2 linked regions of the Ovis aries genome follow. The protein of the gene in region 1 purifies or fractionates together with the protein of each later gene. This does not show direct contact. Links are inferred from orthologs where the notes say so. Each region holds a gene or a part of one and is shown on either strand. Other genes may lie near its edges.

What was found.
Region 2: the proteins of MAP4K5 (region 1) and CRKL purify together in Homo sapiens (affinity purification with western blotting; 3 studies listed by BioGRID and IntAct, with this or other methods). This does not show direct contact. The link is inferred for Ovis aries from reciprocal best matches to the Homo sapiens genes MAP4K5 and CRKL.

The regions. Positions count from the first base shown.
Region 1 is NC_056060.1:41,562,414-41,573,896, forward strand, and holds part of MAP4K5 (mitogen-activated protein kinase kinase kinase kinase 5), read right to left. Parts: intron 11,278-11,483; coding exon 11,217-11,277; intron 8,049-11,216; coding exon 8,046-8,048; intron 7,963-8,045; coding exon 7,848-7,962; intron 7,475-7,847; coding exon 7,416-7,474; intron 6,361-7,415; coding exon 6,257-6,360; intron 4,562-6,256; coding exon 4,384-4,561; intron 1,547-4,383; coding exon 1,478-1,546; intron 1-1,477. UniProt on the Homo sapiens protein: May play a role in the response to environmental stress. Appears to act upstream of the JUN N-terminal pathway.
Region 2 is NC_056070.1:72,319,502-72,331,699, forward strand, and holds the start of CRKL (crk-like protein), read left to right. Parts: upstream 1-4,146; 5' UTR 4,147-4,548; coding exon 4,549-4,859; intron 4,860-12,198. UniProt on the Homo sapiens protein: May mediate the transduction of intracellular signals.

The sequences.
Region 1 (11,483 bases):
CCAAAAGGGAATGCTTTAGAAAAGAGAAATTAAGACAAAAATACGGCAAATTCAGCAGTGGAACAATTTAAAAAATAACCCTAAGCATCAAAGAGAAGCTTTAATTATTTTCAAATACTGGAATGAGTCAAATCACAGAGAATACTGCCAACTTTCAAATATAATTCCAAGTCTGGGAGAATTTCACTTGCAGGATTCACTGCATTCAAGTAAAGCAGATTTTAGGAATTAGAGTGCTTTGTTTGAAAAATTGAAAAAACCTGTTAAAGTTTTTCTGCTTCTTCACTGCATATATAGCACAACATACATCTATAAATAACATCTCTCCCTACATTAAAAGAATTACAACTACAGGTAAAGATCTCAAATCTATTTGTAAATTAGAATATTACAGACAGGATTCTAAAAGTTCGTGTTATATAAGTGATCATATGAGTATAATCAATTTTTTCATTAATTACAATGATTTATGAAAAAACTCTCAGAATAGTTTATACAGAATTTTACCCCAAGGTTATGGCAAACTGTTCTAATATCATTGTCCCTTGGTTCCATGGGGGATTGGTTCCTGTATCCCTCAAGGAGATCCAAGGATGCTCAAGTCCCTTATATAAAATGGCCTAGTGTTTGCATATAACCTATATGTATCCCTCCATAGAGTTTAACATTTTAGAATAGTTTTATTGAAATATAGCTGACTTACAATATTGTGTGCGTTTCAGTTGTACAGCACACCAATTCAGTTATATGTACGTGTATATGCTCACTTCAGTCATGTCCAGCTCTTTGTGACCCTATGGACTGCAGCCCACCAGGCGCCTCTGTCCATGGGAGTTTCAAGGCAAGAATACCGGAGTGGGTTGCCATACCCTCCTCCAGGGGATTTTCCTGACCCAGGGATTGAACTGGCATTTCCTTCCTCTCCTTCATTGCAGGCAGATTCTTTACTACTGAGCTATGGGGGAAGCCCACATGTGTGTGTGGGGGTATATATATAATCTTTTCAGATTCTTTTCCCTTACAGGTTATACATACTATTGAGTTATAGTTCCCTGTGCTAAGTCATCTATGTTCCTAGATCACTTATAATACATTAACACAATATAAAAGCTGTATAAATAGTTGTCAGGCCCTCAGCAAATTCAGGTTTGTTTTTTTGAGCTTTCTGGAATTTTTTTCTGAATATTTTCAATCCATGGTTGATTGAATAAAGGATGTAGAACCCATGGATACAGAGGGTCGACTGTACAATGTTTCCAAGTAGGCCAAACAAAATAAAGAAAAGGGTCACAGAGGACAGTACTGACAAACAGATCAATTAATTACTATATATGTAAATAATTTACATTTTTCATCAATAAAACATGGCTACTTAAGGTGGAAAGTCAAAATCTACTGATTCTATTAGAATCTAGCTCATGAAAAGGTATGTTATATCAAGTAGAATACTTGGACTAAACTTTAAAATAGTACTTACTGTCCAAACACACTAAAACAGTATCTCTCTCCAACTGTGTTACGTGAATGGAATCTAACTGTTGGTTGCCTTGAGGGGAAAAGGAAAATACGGTTACAGTTATATAATGTGCTTTAAAAATTAAAACTTAGAAAAGAAACACAAATTCTGATTTTTTTCTGTGATTTTAAACTAGCCTTTGAAGTTTAACACAAAAATTATATTTCGTAATTGTCTTCTCAAAAAAAACATATGTAAGTCAATTTAAAAAACAAAGTCTTAAGCAAGGCTAACTGAGAAAGGCTCAATATTATATTTAATTAATACCTCGGCTGGTTCCAGAAAGGTATATTACAAAAATAAAATGAAGCAAATGGTAAATATGGGGAAGGAAGTAAAATGCATGTTATACAGTGATTAGATTTTGCTCTGCATTTTATAGTAGCCAATGAAAAGATGAAAACAAGGTCAGGTGGGTCACAGTGTCTCTGAGATTAAAAAAAAAAAGTCAGTAATTCAGAAAAAGCAAAAGTATTAATGAAACTATGATCAGAGAGCAATTTTTCTGGTTATTGGGGTGTGAGTGTAGGTTGGAGTTCCTTTATTAACAGGACACCAGTTGACATAATGAACAATACTGTCAACAGTATCTTTGCAGGAAGCAACTTTCACTACTTGGCTGATAAACATCTGCTAAGATAAGTGATGACATTTTTGCAAAACATTTTTGGTAAAACTATTTTAGCCACTCAGATTGCATGAATGGTCTAGATGAAACCATGCAAAGATTTTAGATTATTTAGAGCAGTCATTCTTAACTACATCTTTTGGGAAAACCCATAGATACTCTCCCTTAAAAACTACACATCTGAGAATAAACACAAAATCTTACACATTATTTTGGGGGTATTTGTGGATCTTCCAAAATCCATATATAGTGAAGAATCCAGATGTAAAGAATTGGTAAAGTGTTGTTTCTCAGGCAATATTCCAAAAAAAAAAAAATAGCTTTTCTATTAACATACAGTTATTGCGTGCTGATGATAATTACTAAGCAACCTTGGATAAAAGGATACTGCAACAACTAATCAAAATACGACTAAGAGAGTCTTGGAATAGGAGTTCATTTTAATTGTTAAAACTGCTGTCAAGTCAAGGTATGGTCTCAGCAATCAACATAGCTGGGAGATAGATTAGCAATCATTTGTGAAAATGGAGAAACCTAATAAGGACAATCTCAGCTTTAGGGTGATTTGAATGTATACCCTCAGAGTTCTGGCTCTCCTCGGGAAGTAGTTTTGGGTCTGCCATAATTTTAGCCTAGATTGTGTTGTAAGTGGATAGAACAGTATACCTCTGGCATTAAAAAGCAAACAACAACCCCTGAACCTCACCCCTGCAAATTCACAAAAGGACTCATTGAATGCCCAGCCTTAAACAATGTAACCACCTAATACAATATACAGAAGAAAGTGGTTTGCAAACTTACATTAGATAATCTTACGAAATAACTTTCTCTACACTATTATTATATATGAACAACAAACAAGTTGAGGCTGTCTGCCAAACATGATCTTGGTTTTAAAATGAACGGACCTATAACCCTTCTTTTTAGCAGTAACTATCTAATACGAACACATTTCTATTTGGCTTGCTTATATTTCATGATAATAAAACAATGCCATTTGGACCTTCCTGTTAGCTATACCATGAGGGTATGCATCTAACTCAACCAAAAGCATTAACAAATTAGAAAGAAAAATGAGTGCAGGGGGCAGGGTAGGGGGAGAAGAGTGGAGGATAGGGGGAGGGTAAAGAATATACTCCTATTTTATTCTACTGGAAATTAGGATCTGGTGCACAAAAACAGTGATAATAGTCCAAGGCATGCTGGAACTGGCTTGTACTGGACTGATAAATTTTTACAAATTTTGCAAGTCAGATGACATTAAGTTGGTATTTTGAAATTGGCTGTGCTGAGAGCATTTATACCACAGAAACAGGCAACTGCTATAAACGAGGCTTCTCTGCAGCCCAAGAGTCTGTTGTTAAACATTTACTAGGACACCAATCAGTAGGTCATACTGATTCTTATTCTGAAAGTGACATTAGTGCAGTTCTACATTAACTTCAATAGCTGGGATGTATAAAGAGTTCTTGTAATTTAGCCTAAAGATGATCAAAAGCCAAAGCTATTTAATAAGAACTTATGATAACTTATAACAGACTTCTTCTCAAGGTGATAAAGAAAAGGGGGTCAGTAATGAAATAGTTATAACTAAAGCTTGCTTGACTTCGTATGTAAAAATGGCTTGATAAACCTGGGGTGACAATACACAAGTACAATAAAAACAGTGATTTTTAACATAAATTCTTGACTGATTTGTTCCAATTTTAAAGTTTGAAAATAAACTTCCCAATCTTTTCAGAGCTTTCACTGAGACATGTTTGATAAAATTCTAGGCTAACAAACCATTCTCAGAAAATGCAAGAGATATAATATTCCCTGTAACTTTAAATGGTAATGCTTGGAGGCCACACATGAGAAGCTTCTATTAAGTCTGAAAAGTACTAGAACTCAATGATTTTAGGAAGTGTAGGGGGAAAAACTGATTTTAAAAAAAGTGAATTTCTTTGCTTGAGAAGATAAAATCTGAAAACTATCTTAGAAAACTTACTTAGTAAGTCCAAATATTAACTGACAACAACTAAGACTTTTAAATGCTGGGAATCATTAAAATATTTCTTGGTAAAATACTTTGTATGTATCAAATTGCCTCTGGCAAACAGAGATCATAAACTATATGTACATGATCCTCTGTGCTTACTTGGGAAACTCTACTAGAAAGCCCATGCAGGTTGAACCTGTTCTGCTTCTTTGATAGGCAAAAGCATTAATACTTTAACATAAAGTAAAAAACACTTACCAGCACCAATTTCTGTAAACCATGAGGATGCAGAGTTCAAATTGATTGTCTCAAACTGAACTACCTGATTTAATTCCGTGCCTTTGCTAATAGCTACACAGACCATAGGATATTCCTGTTCTGGTATCACCAGCATTTCAAAAACATTCAAAGGACTTGGCAAAGGAAAATCAAAGTGCTGCAAGAAAAAAGGAGCATAATTTAGAAACAATCTCCTCATTCATTCTGTTGCTGAATAAATTCAACAGAAAGGCTTTCATTTTCTTGATTGATCTAAGAAATGACTCCCTCTTACTGGCACAAAAACAGACATACAGATCAATGGAACAGAATAAAGAGCCTAGAAATAAATCTACAGACCTATGGTCAACTAATCTATGACAAAGCAGCATTATGAATGTGGGACAGGCTCATGTAAATCAATGAGGTTAGAACCCTCCCTCTTACCATATACAAAAATAAACTCAAAATAGCTTAAAGACTCACAAAATTGTAGCAATATTTTCTTAGATCAGTCTCCTAAGTCAAATAAATAAATAAAGCCAAAAATAACAAATAGGACCTAAGTGAACTTAAAAGCTTTTGCATAGGAAAGGAACCATAAAATAAAACAAAAAAGAAAATGTACAGAATGGGAGAAAATATTTGTAAATAATGTGACCAACAAGGGCTTAATTTCCAAAGTACATATCCTGTTCATATAACTTGAATATCAAGAAAAGAAAAAACCCAATCAAAAAATGGGCAGAAGACCTAAATAGTCATTTTCCCAAAGAAGACATACAGATGGCTACTAGGCAAATGAAAAGATGTCCAACATTGCTAGTTATTAGAGAAATACATATCAAAACTACAACGAGGTACCACCTCACACCAATCGTAATGGCCTCTATTAAAATGTCTAGCAATAATAAATGCTGGGGAAGGTTTGGAGGAAAGAGAACACTCCTACACTACTGGTAGGAATGTAATTTGGTGCAGTCACTATGGAGAATAGTATGGAGGTTCCTTAAAAAACAGAAAAGAGCTTCCGTATGATCCTGCAATCCTACTCCCGGGAATACCCTGGAAAAGATGAAACTAATTTGAAAAGATAGATGCACCCCAGCATTCACAGCAGCACTATTTATAACAGCCAAGACATGGGAACAATCCAAGTGCACATCAACAGATGACTGGCATAAGACGTGCTATTCAACGGACTATTATTCAGCCATAAAAAGAATGAAACATTGCCACTGCAGCAACATGGATGGACCTAGACAATATCATGCTTAGTGAAGTAAGTCAGACAAATAATACATGATATCACTTATATGTGGAATCTAAAAAATAATACAAATGAATCTCTATACAAAATAGAAACAGACATAAAAAACAAAGGGGGTGGGGAATGGATAAATAAGAAGTACAGAATCTACATATACAAACTACTATACATAAAATACATAAGCAATAAGGATTTATTGTATAACATAGGAAACTATATTTAATAGCTTTAATAATCTATCACGAAAAAAATCTGAAAAAAGAAATATACAACTGAACACTTTGCTCTATACCTGAAACACAATATCATATAATACTTCAATTAAAAAAATGACATCTAAATGATCATGATAAGGATCAGTTTTCCATAAACATCTATTTTAGAGAATTGGCCACATTTTTCTTTATGACTGTGTTATTTCTGGAAATCTATTAACATAAAATAAAGATGAAATCTTTAAAGTCTTAAGAACACAAAAGCCCTTAAACCAAATAAATACCTATAAACATGATCCCGGCTGTTAGCAATGGGATTCTACAATTTTAGGTTCAATTATACATTCATGTTTTCTAAAGAAGCAAATGTAAACAAATTAATATATACCTTTATCAACATGAATTTCTGCATTGGCTCATACCACTGAAGTAAAACAATTCCAGACTGTAAAGCTCCGCAGAGGTATTTATGTCCCGTGTAAGGGTTTCTGACTGGAAAGAAACAAAACAGACACACCCAGAACACTGAATATTTTTATATGAAAACATAAAGTTTAGCTAAAACCAATTACTGAATTATACTCACCCAAAAGCTAACTCAGTTTTCTTTATAAAGGCAGTGTTGATACATTGTTGTTGCTCAGTTGCTAAGTCATGACCGATTCTTTGCAACTCCATGGTCTGGCAACATTGGATAGTCTTAGGATGGGGAATAATCAGGCCATAAAGACCAATCATGCAATTTAGGGTAGGGGCTTTGGGTCATGCAGCATCACTTGACCTCCAGAGGGGCTGGATACTGAGGTCAGCCACGTGGGCAGTCGAGCACGCCTATGTGATAGAGCCCTAGTAAAACCTCTGAACACTGAGGTTGCTGAGTAAGCTTACCTAGCTAGCTAGCAATGCTGTGTATTATCACAGGTCACTGCCCGAAAAGTAACACTATCCATATTCTATGGAGGACAACAGAAGCTCTACATCTTGTATCTTTCCTGGACTCTGCCCTATGCACATCTTCCTTTAGCTAATTTTAATCTATATCCTTTCCCTGTAACAAACCAAAGCCAAGCGTATAACCACTTTCAGCAAATTCTGAGTCATACCAGTGAAATTCTGACCATGAAGGTTACAATTGGTAAACTTGTAATTGGTAACAGAAGTGAGAGTGGTCTTGTACGGCTGCTCCCCCTAACTTCAGAGTTGGGCAGAGTCCTGAAATAATAATGTTCATAAAGCACTACTCAATAACTGTTAATGGTAAGTGCTAACTGAAAGCTAGGATATTAGCAGAGAGAGAGCCTTAGGGACTATGGTTAAAAAAATCTGAGGAACATTGCGCTATGAGAAAGCATCAGGTCAGGGCTATCTTCACGTGCTTTTGTGCCATGTCCCACTATACATTCCTGAGCTTCAGTGGTCCCTTAACTCCTTATTTAAAACAAATATAAAGCTTCCCTTCCTTTATTTAATACTTTAAGAACTTTACAGATAATTTTAAAGATGTTAAAAGTTCTAACCATTCAGTTTGAGAAATAGTATTTACTCACCTATGCAACATTTGTGGCAGCCCTTTGTATCAGGAATCTTTGTGGTTAAAGCGAACTTTCTGTAAACACAGGACAATATAAATGTACTCTACTACAGTGGTTCTCAAACAGTGAGTGATCTGTGAATCAGTTCCATCAGAATTAGTCAAGGAGCTTTAAAAAAAAACATCTTAAACTATGACTCCAATCTATATGATAGTATAGGTCTGAGGTGGGGCCTGGGAATTTATATCATAAAACTTCTATGGATGATGGTCATGGACAGTCAAGTTACAAAACACTTATCTTTTGAACTCTATATGACATTTACTTTAATGTAAACTACCTTTCAAAATTAAGACAAGGGAAGTTTTTCAGTGTGCAAGAAGACTGGTTGCTTTAAAAATAGACACTAATTCCCCTCACTCCCAGCAGAATCAAAATATTTAGTACCTTGGTAGTATGCGATCTGGAAACCTATGAGTCTGAATATGGGCAGCTAGTCCTGGTTTTTTGGCTTGTTCAAACAAAGCAATAAGATTATGAGAGTAGAGTTGAAAGGTTTTTCCTAAAAAAGAGAAACATGTTATTTTTATTAGAATTATTTAAAACAGAGAAATACAATTTTCAAGCAAAAGAAATAATAATTACCTTCTAAAATGATGAATCCAGACATGTTCAAAAAGCCAAGCAAAATAGAAAAACATAAACAAAAATACATAGTTAGTACTACTTTGAAAGCTAATAAGTAAAATAAGTTTTAGGAAAGTAACACATAATTGTGTTTCCCAATACATAAATTAGATATATTCTGACTAATAAGTAATCTGGACAGAATATATGTAAACCTTAATGAAGTGAACATAGAAAAAGAAATTGTTAAACATTTTTGCAAAATAGGCTGAGTCACAATGATGCACATGTGATTTCAGTACAACACGGAAAACTATATAATCACTACATTATCTTTCTGAGCTACTCCCATTTAGGAATAATCTACCACATAGCCTTGGATTAAAGCTGACTGTGAAAGAAGTGTTAGATAACATTGAAATACTAAGAAAAGTAAAGCAAACTAATACTATATGCCATAGGATATAACAGGGCTACAAGTATGTACTATCATTATTCAGGATAACTAGACTATGATTTCTATATAATCAAAACCACATATTTAATCCACATTAAAAGAGGAAGATATGGTAAATATCTGACTGCTTACTATATATGACATGGTACTATAACAGAACCAAATAGTATCTATCATTTTACTATGAGAAAACATGAAAAAGAGTGACTTTCTCCTCACAAAATTTTCTGTATCTTTTCAAAATGCAGCATTCTGCCTAACAGTATACCACCCTTCCTTTCTTTAGTCCGCCTTTATAGATAACTAGTTACCTAAGCAGCTAACACGTGTACATGTATGTACACTCATGCACAGAAATGCAGACTCTTAAACAGAACGTTTTCTCTTATTGAGCAATGCTACCTATCTTCATTCAGTTCCACAGGTCATTTTAAGTAGAATTTGGAAAGAACTAATTTATAGGCTAGCTTTTTCCTGCCTTTCTATAGTTATTTTATAAATATATAAAATGTACTCTGTGTGGCTTTTAAGCTTATTCACACAGACAGGTATATAAACGTGGTTGGAGGAAAGTGACTCTATATGAATACAAATCAGAATTGTTAATTCAAATAGAATTAGGTTTATTTTCATAATATAATATTTTAATATTTTATTAGATAAAAGTAAAAAAAAAAATCGCAGACTCAAAATCAAAGAGAATAACTGTCATTTGAGGACCCTAGTTTTTAAAAAGACATTTGTGGACAATCAAATAATACACTCTCTGTAAAAACTCATCAGCTCAAATACACAAATTCCTGAAGAGTCTCTGCTAGGTGATGGTTAGTAGAAGAGTTTAAGTTATATACACTCACACACACATACTTAAAATTATGAAAATGACATTTCTTAAATTAGCCACAATTCATAATGAGTTAAAACTGTATCAGCACTGATGTTTTAAAGCATGAGTAGCTGAAAGGTATACTTAATAACAAAAAGTCTGACAGTATAGTAAATAATAGCTGGGATGTAATCATCAGAGTATCAAACAAAACAAAACAAAATTAAGGAATGTTAAAATAACTTAGTTATTCAGAGCGGAGAAAGGGATGAGTGCTATTTTAATAGATGACAGCATCAGGATTAAGGAAAGAGAGAAATAATTAACTATCTTGTACAGTGGTCCCATCACAAGTACTGTTCCAGGATCCCCACGCAGATACCAAAATCTGAGGTTGCTGAAGTCCCTCATATAAAATGATGTCATGCAGCACTTGCATATAACCTATGCACACCCTTCCATATACTTTAAATTATCTCCAGATTATGTATAATACCTAATACAATGTAAATGTTACATAAATAGTGACCCAGTGCCTGGAAAATTTCAAGTTTTGTTCCTTTTTGGAATTTTCCAGAATTCAAAAAAAAAAACTTCTATCTGCAGTTGGTTGAAGCTGTACATGCAGATAGAGGGAGCCAACTATGCTCTACTATCAGAATGAAAGCACGTAGCGAACCTTTAGGTAGCCACTTAAATCCAAAATGTAATAAAATTTTTTTTGGCAGGTACTTATTGGGGGAAAAAAGAAAAAGCCTAAAACAATACCCGTCTATCCCCAACAAAACAAAAAAGGAAAAGCACAAACAACAAAATTGGAATAGGCTGCTCCAAAACCCTTGTGATTATTTTTAAGACTTTATAAAGTTTTGGTCCAAGTTGGCTAATAAATATGTGGTCCGGAATTCTACCAGCGAACATCTCTTAAGTCTTCACAGCTAACTAAGTACTCGTTATATCTCACTTAATCCTCACAGCAATCTTGTGAGGTTGTAATTGTTACTATCCTCCTCATATTACAATTAAGAAAACTGAGAGCAGCAACATGGATGCATTCAGAGATGATCACACTAAGTGCAGTAAGTCAGAAGGAGAAAGACAGACACCGCAGGAATCACTTATATGCGGAATCTAATGTGAGACAAAGAGCCTGTCTACGAAACAGAAACAGACTCACAGAAGCAGAGGACAGAGTTACTGGTTGTCAGCAGGGAGGGGCAGTGGGGAAGGATGGACTGGGAGTTTGGGCTTAGCAGCTGTAAACTATTACATACAGAATATATAAACAACAAGGTCCTACTGTATATAGCACAGGCAACTATGTTCAATATCCTGTGATAAACCATAAAGGAAAAAAGCATGAAAAAGAACATACATATGGAAAACTGAAATACTTTATAGTACAGCAGAAATCAATATATCGTAAATCAACTACACTTCAATTAAAAAAATTTGAACAGATATAATTTATGAAAGAAAAAAAAAAAAAAGAAACCTAAGGCCGAGAGACAAGAGACGGTGACTGGCTCAAGATTAAAGAGAAGGAAGTAGCTGGATTCTCTGCTTTCCGTCAACTGCTGATTCTCAGTGGAAGGCAGGGATGGTGGCAGGAACAGAGACTGTGAAATAGACGGCCTCAGGGAACAATCACTGTCATGTTTTCCAACTGTGTAGTTCTTAGGCACGTGTGGGAAGTACAGCTTTAACTGACAACAGGGTTTCTTCCTATTCTACACCAGTCAAAAAACACCTACAAGCCTCAAGGTCAACTATACTAGATTATAATTACCCTAAATAACAACATTTTAAAATATATATTAAATATATATTAAATAATATATATTAAAATTAGATTTCTCTGCTTGTCCATGGTTTATTTATCATATTATTTTCATCATATACATACCTGACAATGACATTAAAGTGTTGTTGATAACATAGAGCCAAGTACACTTCCGTGGAAATAACTATTAAGAGAAAAGTAGATAATTAAAACTCTCCAATTTCATTCCCTTACCCCTCAACCTCCAAATTTCAACAGCCTGAAAGAGTAGAGAAACAACTATTTCTATGTTTTAGTAAATTATTACAACCTTACAGAAAAAAATCTTCATACATGAACATATAAAGAGTATAATTTCACCACTTTAAATATTTAAATCATAAAAATTAA
Region 2 (12,198 bases), on another chromosome or scaffold:
CTTGATGCCAAGCGCAATGGAAACTTCCATATTTCAAAATCTATTTAATTGGGCAATTCAGGAGTTCCCACCCGAACTTCAATTGAAGATGATTAATCTGCAACGTATTCATAACAAAAGGCAAACGTCCAGAGAAGAATCTCGGAGAATTCTTGCACATACCATCCCACAATCTGGCTTCCCTGGGGCCTCCACACGGTAAAGAGCCTGCCTGCAGCGCAGGAGACCCAGGTTCAATCCCTGGGTCAGGAAGATCCCCCGGAGAAGGGAATGGTTTCTCACTCCAGTGTCCTTGCCTGGAGAATCCCGTGGCCGGAGGAGCCTGATGGGCTGCAGTCCACGGGGTTGCACGGAGCTGGACAGGACTGAGCAACTAACTCTTGCGCTTTCATCCCACAGTGAACATGCTCCATTAAAACTGTGCAGGGTGGGCCGCACCGTCTGGGTGCGAGACATCGTCAGGGGTGACACAGAGCCTAATTACGCCCAGCTCAGCACTGGCAGGTCAACATTTCAGCATCAGGGGACACTGATGCTGAAGCCCAATGAAGTGAAATATTATCCCAGATGAATCCCATTATTCTCACTCGCATGCTCGGGTGATGAAACAGTTAACACTCAACCACTATGATGTTCTGAACTTCCTTTTAAAAGATTGCAGAAAATTTTTCTCATCAGGTGAGAGAATGTTCCAGATTGATAAAAACGGGTGCAGATCCCCTGAGGTGTTAAGATGCTCCCATTTTCCAGGAGTTTCTCCTGGAGCCAGGGAGGAAGATCAAGAGGCTGGAGCAAGATTACATAACACTCCTCGATTTTCTTCTTTGTCCTGCAAAGCCTTAAATATTTCCTGTCTGGATCTTTAGAGGAAAATCTGGGGACGCCCGGTCTAAAGGGCTGCACAGCACTGGCCGAGAAGGGATGGGAGAGGGAATCAGCGTGCCTCTAGGGGATTTCGCTGAAGGCACTCCAGGATGCTCTGAAATCAGGAGAAACAAGACAAGCTGCCTTTCAGCTCAAGTGACACAAAAGTGGACTTTTAAAAAAACTAATTTATTTACCTACGTGGCTGTCTCGAGTCTAAGTGGGCAGCACACGGGGTCTGCAGTCTGGTGTGCGAACCCTTAGTTGCGGTCCACGGAATCTTAGTTCCCTGACCAGGGATCACTCCTGGGCCCCCTGCACTGGGAACAAAGAGTCTCAGCCACTGGACCGCCAGGGAAGTCCGAGAAAATGGATATTTTATACAAGAGGCGGCAGAGCCATTAGAACTAGGTTAGAGAATGCCAGGCGGAGCCATGACCAGACTTTAAGACACTGGAATTAAGTCGGCCAGTGTTTTCTAGAGGGGTCGGTAGAACTTCCTAACACAGCAGCCAAGCCTCGTGCAGAGATGTCCCCCTGGGAAAGAAGAGATGAGCAGGTTGATATTTTAAATAGTGCGTCATGGGAAATTATAATCGGGATTGGACATTATTTTATTAGTATCGAAGTAGCAAACTAATGGTGGGGGAGAAGATAACCAATAAGCTCCTCTTTTGTGTTAGGGAGAAAAATTTGGAAATAGACATGAAGCATGGGGGAGCAGTGACGGAGAACTGCAGGGTGAGAGGGCGAGGCGGGTCTCCAAGGATGTGTCTAACCCAGGCAGTGGTCAACCAGGGCTCGTGGAGACCACGCCTGAGAACCCCCGACCCAATCAGGTCAGCGCGGTGAGCGCGCTTGCTGCGTCTCCCCGTAACACAGGCAGGCCTCTTCTACCTTACTGTCTTTGCCAGCAAAGAATCTAGGGCAGGAAGAAGGGACAGACACTGTCCTCCCGGGTCCTCAGTAAGGCAGCAACCTGGGAAGACCGTCCGGCCTTAACCATCGCTTGCAGGGTTGGACCAGACAGGGGAGAATCAGAAGTCAGTGGGGCGGGGTGGGGGCTCCCCTGGTGACTCACTGGGTAAAGAATCTGCCTATCAGTGAAGGAGACGTGGGTTCGGTCCCTGATCTGGTAAGATCCCACAAGCCACGGAGCAGCTGGGCAGCAGCGGCACAACCACCGCGCCCTGCGCTCTGGAGCCCTTCCCTGCAGCAGGAGGCACCGCAACGAGAAGCCCGCTCGCCGCAAGTGCAGAAAAACCGTGCAGCCATGAAGACCCCGCACAGAAAAGGGAAACAAACACATAATTAAAAAGATTCCTCGGTGAGGGGACTTCACTGCCGGCCCAGTGGCTGAGACCCTGTCTTCCAAGGCAGGGGCTGCGGGTCTGATTCTCGGTTGGGGAACTAAGACCCTGCATGCCACGTGGCGAGGCCACAAAAGAGAGCTGGCGTTGAATCCTCAGTACAGAGGCAGCCTCAGGGACAGGAACCCTGGCAAGTTGCTGGAAAAGCCTTGTCAATTGAGTCTAAACTAACTATCTTAGAAGAGAGTAAGTACAATGCTACCTGGAAACCTCGGGAAGAGCAAGCTAGAGCAGAATCACAAATCTTTTTTACGTTATGGCCCCTTTTTAAAGCTTCTTGTCGTTTGTCCCCTTCATTTCCATTTCATTACCTCTTAGTGGCTAGGCTGTTTTTTTGGGGGAAAAAGTTTTTAAGCTTGTTTCAGCTGTGCTAAGGAAAAATAAGAAATTACTTAATTATTTTTATTGTGAAAAAATCCAAACATACACAAAAGTAGAATAATGTAATTAATAGCTCCCCCCGCCACACACACACACACACACACACACACACATTAGCAAAGCAAGCAAAATGGACTAACTTATAGGCAATAATTGTGTAACACTGAAATGAGTCCTGGACTTCAAAAGACCTCCCTGAGTGCCTCTTGCAAAGCATACAACCTATGATAACTTCTCTGAGATATAATTGTGTATCTTTGAGATGCTCACTAAACATTTTTTTTGTATTTAATTTTGTATCTATATGTAAACTTATGGTGATGATAATCAGTTTATGATGTAAGCAAGTCAAGCCATTAAGCTGTACACCTTAAACTTGTACAGTGCTGTATGTCAACTATCTCTCTATAAAACTGAAAGAAAAATTAATATTAGAAGATGAAAAAAATATGACAAGGAATGATACAGTCAACTGGTAAGTCAGGTTAGGATTGGAACTCAAGCCTTCCTCTTCAAATTCTGAGCTATTCAAATTGTGCCCGAAAGTAACACGACGCGAAAGTATTTGGAGGGAAGCTGAAAACCTGCTTTGCTGAGTCACAAAAGGCCCTAGGCCGTGACGATTCCCCTTGAGTTTACCCGGAAGGAACGTCAGCCATCACGCTGCGACAGTGGTCCCCAGCATCCTGGGCGCCAGGGACCCTTCCGTGGAAGACAGTTTTTCCTCGGGGCGGGGGATGGTTCAAGCGCATTCCTTTCACGCTGCACTTTCTTTCTGTTATTCTTACATCGGCTCCACCTCCCGTCATCAGGCACTGGGTCGCAGAAGCTGGGGACGCCTGCCCTACCTACAGTGCAGGACAGGCTCAGCCCAGCAACGAGATCGGCTCCCCAGGAGTCTAGAGCCGGGCTCCGATGCCCCTCTGGACAGGCGCCTCCACCGGCCGGCGGGGGCGGGGGCGGGGGGTCCCCGACAGTCATTCATTCCGCCCAGGTCTGAGATCAGCGTAGGGCGGGGCGAAGAAGCGCCAGGCCCAGGGCTGAACAAGGCGCACCAAACCCCGCTCCCGTGAAACGGACGGTCCGGCGCGGACGGGGGTGCGGCCAGGGGCCGGGGCTTCTGCGGCGGGGGTCCTGGGGGGGCCAAGGCGGCAAGGGCTCCGAGAGGACGCGGGAGCTTCGCCAGCCACCGCCTGAGCACCCGCGGCGGTCGGCCCCGCCACCCCCTAACCTGGCCGGCCCGGCTGCGCACGGCCCGGGGCCGCGCCCGGGGGCCGGGCCTGGCCCGCGCCGCCCGCTTTGTTCCCGGAGCGGGCTCCAGAAGCGCCGCCTCCCCGCAGCGCCCCCCGGCGGGCCCGGGAGGGAGCGCGGCGCCGCGCGCGGGCGGCGCACGCCCGCCCTCGCGATTGGCCGCGCGGCGTGACGTCACGGGGCGGCGCCGGCGGCCGCCGGGAGCGGGCGCGCGCGCGTGCGCAGTCGCGGGGCGCGGGGGGGGGCGGGGGAGGTGGCCGCCGCTGCGCCCGCGGCCGCCATTTTGTTGCTGTGGCTCTCGGGAGCGGGGCAGGGCTCGGCGGCCCCGGCGGCGCGGCGCTCCCGGGCGGTGTGCGGCTCGGCGCGGCCGCGGGGCTCGGTGCGGAGCGGCGGGGACGCGGGGCCGGCCGCGCGCCGGGGCCAGGGCTGAGCGGAGGCGCCGCGAGCCGCCCTCGCCGCGCTCGGCCGGGCCCGCGCCCGGAGCCGGCTGGGCCCGCGCGGCGGCCCCGGAGCAGGCCGGCGGCCCGGAGGATGTTGCGGGCCCGCGGCCGCGAGGAAGGCGCGGGCGCGGGCCTGTAGGCGCGCGGTGAGCCCGAGGCCCGGCCGGCGCGCAGCCGCCGCGGGCGGGGCGCCCCCAGCGCCGGCGAGAGCGGCCCGCCCGGCCCCCCGCGCGCCGCCCGCCATGTCCTCCGCCAGGTTCGACTCCTCGGACCGCTCGGCCTGGTACATGGGGCCCGTGTCCCGCCAGGAGGCGCAGACGCGGCTCCAGGGCCAGCGCCACGGCGTGTTCCTCGTCCGCGACTCGTCCACCTGCCCGGGGGACTACGTGCTGTCCGTGTCCGAGAACTCGCGGGTGTCCCACTACATCATCAACTCGCTGCCCAACCGCCGCTTCAAGATCGGGGACCAGGAGTTCGAGCACCTGCCGGCGCTGCTGGAGTTCTACAAGATCCACTACCTGGACACCACCACGCTCATCGAGCCGGCGCCCAGGTGCGCGGGGCCGCGGGGCTCGGCGCGGCGGCGCCGGCCGGGGGCGCCGTGGGTGAGGGCGGTGCGTCGGGCCCGGCAGCTCGCGCTGCGGGCGCCCAGTTGGAAAAGGGGCGCTTTCTGCCCTTCGTCGCGTCCTCGGTGCAAATTACCTGCTGAAGCAGGGCGTTGCTCCCGGTCTTGCAGCCGGTTTGGGGCCACGGGTTGAGACTCTGAAGCTAGTCTTCGGCTCCCCGCCCCGCGGGCCCCTCCCTGCCCCCCGCCCTCCCGAGTTTGCACCGCTTTCAGGGTCTCTGAGCTCCGGGGTTGGACCTCCCGGACGGCAGCCTTTGGAAACTCTAGAGATGGAAATGCCTTCGCAGGTAGAAACGAAATGCCTTTACCTGTGAAATATCAGGGCCATATATTGATAGCCTGGTGCCAGGGTTGAAATAAGCCAGGCGTCTGTTTTATAACACATTAACTGAAAATACTGTAGAAGAGGTCGGCTTGAACGAGGAATTTTTTTTTTTTAATAGATTTCCCCCAAGCTGGGCCTTTAATGGACTGGAAATCCATTTGGTTAAATTCCAAGGTGGAATGAGTCTAGACTGTTACTAAGAGGAAATTTTGAATGACACTCCACTGAAGATTCTACGCTAGTTGAATTTCAGATGTCCTTTTTGTACTGAGTTGCATGACTTAGTATCTATTTTAAAATAACCCAGAGTGACACTGAGCATTGGGCATCCCTTTTCATTTGGGCTTCATTATTGGCCTTAATATTTTGCTCGAGGCTTCTTTTGTGCAGATTATGCAAAACTTGAGCTAAAGAGATGGCGTAGGGTTTTAAAAATAAAAGGTATTGATCTTTTCAAGCGTCTGCTTAGAAAGGACAGGGTGCTAATACAGGTTTTTTTCAGGGTGAGATGGTTCTGACTTGATAGATCTGCTGACAAGATAGTAGTCTCAGCTCTGAACATGAGAAGCTGTCGTATTAAAGGGGGACGCACTGGATGCTTCTGTGGACTAGAGGTAGAGAAGAATGAAGCCCTCGCGGTGTAATGACCAGGAGGTTAACTGCTGAGCTAAATGGACTTTAAAAGCTGGGAGACAGGGATTATAAATCAGATACTGCGTAACAAAGGCCTAGCCGCGGCGAGTCTGACTGGCGAGGCCTCCAGGTCCCCGAAGAGCCTGGGAGCTAGAGGCAGCGCTCAGCACAGTGTGATTCCAGCGTGAGAGGCTGGGGGCTCTCGGCTCCCGCAGTGGTGAGGCTTCAGCTGCGTTCGCGTAACTGGCTCTTCTGGCTTGTGAAGGTGACTGAGCGCTCTCTCGGGCACTGACTGGGCCTCGCCGCGCGCCTCAGTGCAGCCGTGAGGGAGGGACTCGAGCCCCTCTGGGTGGAGAGAAAGGGGCGCGGCCCTGGCTTCCCAGTGCCCGCAGCCGCCACCCCCAGCTTTCCCTTCGTGCTGCTTCCCAGATGCCCGTCCTCACCCTCTCCCGCCGCCTCCAGGGAGCCCGCGCTACACGCCCACTCGCGCCGGAGGACCTTTGCTCGGGCCCCACCCGCCCCTCACCGGGCGCGCCTCCCTGCCCTTGGGGCCTTTCCCTGGCGCTGCCCCCGCCTCCAGTTGAGCTTTGCTGTTTCTCCGCCCGCTGCCCCGGGCGTCCCGCTGCCGTCGAGTTTTCCTTCCCCTGGTGTCTCCGAGGGCTGCCGCTGCCCCAGTTGAATGAGATCCTGGCAGGATTCACTTGGTCACACTGAACCTGGATCGCCTCTCCCGGAGCCAGAAACCCGCGGATCTGTGTGATGCGCTTATTACTCAGCTAGTGTAGAAGACAAGGCCGGGCCAGCTTTGGCCAAAGGCAAAAATCAGGGCCGTGTGCTTCCACGCCCCAGGCAGGATGGATGAAGTGGTTAGGCTCTTTCAGGCCTCAGAACCGAGCTCCTGAAGCCAGAGCTTCTGCGCTTTGGCTAATAGTTATTTTTTGGGGTTCATTTTGCTCAGTAAAAAGTGACGACTTACTGGCTTCCTCAGAATTTAAGGACTGATCTCTTTTTTTTGTTGGGGGAGTAGCTTTTTTTTTTTGGCCGTGCAGCGTGTGGGAGCCAAAGTCCCTGGCCAGGGACCAAAACTGAGCCCTTGGCAGTGGCAGCTGGGGTCTCAACCTCTGCACCACAGGGACGCCCCCTTAACTTCACAGTGTACGTCCTTGTCCAGACATTACAGGAGAGTTAATCCCAGGGATGCGTACTGGGAGAGAGGGGTGACGTGCTTTCTCCATCATGGGCCTTAGATGTCAGTGAGGAGACAGGCTGGAAAGTAGAGATTTAAGTAAAAGACAGCATTGGTCGGTGTGAAGAAAGTCCACGTGGGCAGGGGGTCTAGCAGGCGGGGCTGACCTGAGGCAGGAGGGTCAGAGCAGGGCTGAAGCCAAGAGGGCGCCCAGGGTGGGGAGCCAGCCGCGCCAGGGCCGTGGCTCTGCAGAGGCAGCTTGAATCGGCTGCTCAGAGGAAGGAAGTGGGGTGCCAGGGGGGAGTTTGCAGTCAGGAAGTGACCTGGGCCATTATTGCAATCCAGGTCACGGTGATGACGATTGGTGAGCTGTCCGTCCGTCCGTGCGTCCATCTGTAGTAGAGACGTTCCGCAGGCTGACTGGCAGGGCTGACGGACGGCTGTGGTTTGAAGACGGTTGCTGATGGGAGGGGAACGGAGAGGAGGAAGGAAGAGGCAGATGACTTGGTGTGTTTGCAGCTGCCTGTCCTCTGGGTTGTCTTGTTAATTTTGCCTTTTGAGTTGCACTATTCAGTCCTGTCTTGGATCTTACATTTAAGGTGTGTCAGTGGCTTCTGGTTTTCCAATGACAGATTTTAAAGGATTCTTTTTCCGCACACGGGTGCAGCTTGTAGGCTGAAGCTTGTTGCATAAACAGACACTTCACCTCCATCTTACTTGAGTGTGAACACTTCCAAGATTCTGTTAAGTTCTGTTCAGTGTTAGGTAAGTGCTCCTGGGTTTTTCTTTCCGTTTTAATAGAGGCTGTTTCCAGTTTAACAGCAGGGTCCAGTTTCTGAGTGGGTTCAGTTTAGAGACAGTACATTTTCCCGGGTCTAGAAAATTGGAAGTGTGCTTTGCGTAGGTCGCTTCTCTTATGAAGTTTCCGGTTCCAGCTCGTGTAGCTGTGTGATGACTGGGAGGAGGGTCGTGAGGAGCAAAGATGGGAAAAACAGAGGCGAGTTGGCTCATAGAGGCACCTCCCCACCCCCACCCCCCTGTTTTGTTGCTCGATAGATATTGCTGAGAGCACGCTCTGGTGGTACAGATCTGATGTTGCTCAGCACTCCCTGTCAGGCTCTTCTGGAGCTTCCTGGATGCTGACTTTAAAGACCGCGTCCTCTGATACAGGCAGCAGCTGTGCGAGGGCCAGAAAGGATGCCCAACCTCACCTGAGCGCCTGCCCAGAGGGGACGCTCACGGCCGCCAGGCAGAGGCCACGCCTTCTCCCACGGCCGCAACCTGGGTGTTTAAGGGGGCATTTGGGCTCGTAATTAGGAGTAGCAGGTAGGAGAGGAGCGGTAGCTGATTTCAGTTGACATAGAATTCGGCACTATGGGTAACCTTTGAGTCTCTTCTTACCGGTAGCTTAAATCCCCTGAGTTCAGTTTAGATGGGAACAGAACTGTTGTGACGCTGGATGGAACCTCAGCCAGGCGGGAGTTCTGTCCCCGTGGCGCCTGAGTGCTGACAGCCGTCTGACCTGTGACCCTTCTCTCGTTTGAGACTTGGATTCAGAGGACGTTTTATAGAAGAATGATTCTCTTGATCTGAACTGTTGGACTGGATTATTTTTGAGGTTCACTCGGGCAACAACGTTTTCCTTCTGATAAGTAAAAGGAGGCAGTGCTCTGTTAGTGGGAGTCCAGATAGGGCCTCCCCAGCGAGGTGGGGCCGCTAGTCGGGGATGCTGGCGGCGCAGAGACGAAGGGGCCCGGCAGCAAGCCCGGTGGCACACGGGGTTTCCTTGTCTGTGGAACAGACTTACCGGGGCCTGGGGGAGAGGCTTCCCTGTGTCTGTGGCGGTTTAGTTTCAGCAGGAATCTCAGTGTGTTGAGGCCTCCTCCGTCCCAGAGCGCGAGACTGGACTCCAGCCTCGTCATGGAAGTAGACCGTGACCTTGCCGCCGAGCTCAGCTCCCTGAGGGTGCCGCGGATGGCCGGCCGGGGGTCAGGCAGGGCCTGGAGGAAAAGGTGCTCTGTGGGGAGTGGCTCTTGAAGGGTGAGGGCTGCTGTGGGAGGTGGAAGGGCAGCTGTGGTTGCTGCGAACGAGGCGCCGCCGCAGGCTTGAAGGGAGCACGCTCAGCTGTGACAGGCCTCCTGCGTTTGGTACCTGCGTCCAGCGGTGGGAGCGTTCCAGAGTCTTTAAGAAGAGGGTTGTCGCGGTCAGCCTGCTCCGAGGTGGGCCGGGGTGGGGCGAGTCTGGAGTGCGGCGTGGATTAAGGGCTGTCACGGGAGAAGGGAGCGTGAGAAGCTGGACTGAGGTCTCCTGCGTGGGGAGTCCGGGAGGAAGCCGCTGGGGCGCCCTGCTCTGGGCAGTTTCCTGGAGGTGAGGCGAGAGGTGTGGCCTCAGGCTGATGGGACGGCGCCTCAGGTGAGAGATGCGAGGCAGGGCTGGGGCAGGGACACGGGTCTGCAGCAGGGGGCCGGCCAGGGCTCCAGCTAAATAGACAGATTTGGGTCTGAGCCCAGGTGGAAGCGGCAGAGCCCGCAGAAGAGCTGGGGGCGCAGAGTGAGGGCCCGGGGGGCGGGGGCGGGATGTGGGGGTCCAGCCCGGAGCGCTCTGACTGCACGGCCGTGTCGCCAGTCTCCCTGGGATGGGTGCTTGTACGTTGCTCTGTTTTCCACCTTTTTGCTGTGGAATCTTTCATACGGCCGCAGGGGGTCTCGGTCTCCGTGTCCGTCACCCCGGGGCCTTTGAAAATCTGTCCTGCCAGTTGATGGCTTCGCTTTGTTTTTTGAATTTGAAGCCGCTCAGTCGTGTCCGACTCTTTGCGACCCCGTGGACTGTAGCCTACCAGGTTTCTTTGTCCATGGGATTCTCCAGGCAAGAATACTGAAGTGGGTTGCTATTTCCTTCTCCAGGGGACCTTCCCCATCCAGGGATCGAACCCGGGTCTCCCACATTGGAGGCAGATGCTTTAACCTCTGAGCCACCAGGGATGTTGTTAGAGCTGAAGATGCCTGAGTGGGTTTTTTTGCCGTGCAGCTTTTGCCTGGAGGCGGCGGCCGCCCCGCAGTCGCTCGAGGCACGTGCTCCGGCCTTCGCAGGGAGCTGCGGTCTGCGCCTGGGCCCCTGTGTGTGCTGGGCACCGCGTACGGTCCTGGTCACGGGACAGATTACGAAAGGACGGGGTGCAGGGGCTGGTTCCGCTGCAGTTTCCTGGTTCTCGGGGTCTGTGGCGTTCCCGGCGTCTGAGCCCGCTGTGAGCGGCGACACCTCCTCGGGGAAGGGCCTGCTGGTCAGATTTGTGGGCCCTGAAGCTGTCCCGGCCCGCCCGCTCGGACCAGCCGTGGGCCTGCAGGCTGTGGTTTGTGGAGCCCTCTGCCACACTGATGGATTTTGTGTAGTGTATTGGCGCTAAGAGCCTTCGTGCACTTGCTTAAGGGTTCTGTGAAAAGCTCTGGCAAGACCACAGGTAGCTGGTGGACTCACGGGGCACTGGCCCCTTGCAGCAGTGCGGGGAGGGCCTGGCCGGCTGGCCCAGGACCAGCCAGCCAGCAGCTGTGGGGAGCCCGCAGGGGCGCCTCTGGACCCTCGGTCTGCAGCCTCTTCCCGGTGGAGAACCAGCACCTTTGTAAGCCCGTCTTCCACAAGGTCTTCTCGCGCTCAGTCGGGTCTGACTCTGCGCAACCCCGTGGACTGCAGCCCGCCAGGCGTCTCTGCTCATGGCCTTCTGCAGGCAGGAGTGCTGGAGTGGGCTGGCGTCTCCTTCTCCGGGGGCCTTCCCGACGCAGGGACCCGGCGCACGTCTGGTGCGTCTCCTGCGGTGCGGACGGGCTCTTCACCGCCGGCCGCCGGGGGCGAGTGTTTGTGCGGCACCGCTTGCCTGTCCCCTGACCCTTAGCGAAGCTTGACCCCGTCCGCCCCGGCCGCGGCATGGATGGCGTGTGCGCTCCTTTCCCCTCCAGTCTGCCAGGGTGGCGTTTGCAGTCTTGGGAGCAGGAGCCTGTCTGTCCCCTGAGCTCTGAGTAGAGCCAGCGGGTCCCTGGGTAGATGGATGTCTTAGTGCCAGCCTCGCTGAAGCTGCTCTGGCGTCCTCAGGCCCTGTGCTGTGGGACTCCCTGCTTCTCCCTTTGAACTGTGTAGACAGTGAAAACCTCAGCGCGTCTGCCCCGGAGCCGAGCGCTCTTGGTAAAGTCGCTGAGGTTTGGTGAAAACTTTCACAGAACCTCTGGCCCTTGAGATAGGAGCAGGGGTGTGCGCTGGGGGCTCGGGGCCGGTCAGGGGCTGCCGTGGGCTTGGCACAGCGCTCATTCGGGCGCTGCGGCCGGCAGGAGTGAGGGCTCTGGGGCCCCGTGCCAGGCGCACCCACCCGAGGGCCCCGTGAGGAGGCCTCAGCCCGCACCGCAGCGAGGGTGTCAGCGCCTCCTCGCCGAGGCTGCTCCTGCCGCGCTCTCGGAGGCGTTGGCGCTAAGCAGTTCCCCCTCAGTTGTCAGGTTCTCAAGGAATGAGGCCTTGGAGGTGTTTCATCAGGCTGCTCGCCGCCACCGCCAGGCGTCCTGACTGCTGTGCGCCCACCGTTCACATGAGAAAGACCTGCGTTCTGCCAGATGACTGCGCTCTGGAGGGTGGTGTGGCCGAGTGTCCGAGGCCCCTGAGAACGTTGGTGTATTTAATGCGGGGACGCAATCCAGGGAGATGACGCGTGGGAGTGTGTGGTGGTGTCATAGACGGTGACAGGACCGTCGGGACGCGGGGGCTCGCTCGCAGCAGGCACCCGAGGGCAGGCGCGGTGGAGGGGCCGCGCTGCAGGAAGGCCGCCCCAGCAGACGCGGGCGGGGACGGTGGCCGGTGGGCGGGGCGACTGGCCTCCTTAGGGCAGCGGCCGGGGACTTGTTCTCTTTCGTTTTCCTTTTTTTTTTTTTTTTTTTTTGCTGTTGTAACATGTTGACCCTTTTTTTTTTTTTAAAGGAAACGTTTCTGTAAACTAGAATGGTTCAGTGCAGGAGGCCATGTTGTGATGTTGTCCTGCGAAACAGCTTTTCAGGTCATTGACTTAGGGAGAAAGGGAAAGGCCGCCCCCTGCGGGGAACACACAGCCAGTCGGTGGGTCAGCAGCGTGTCCTGTCCTAGCTCTTGCC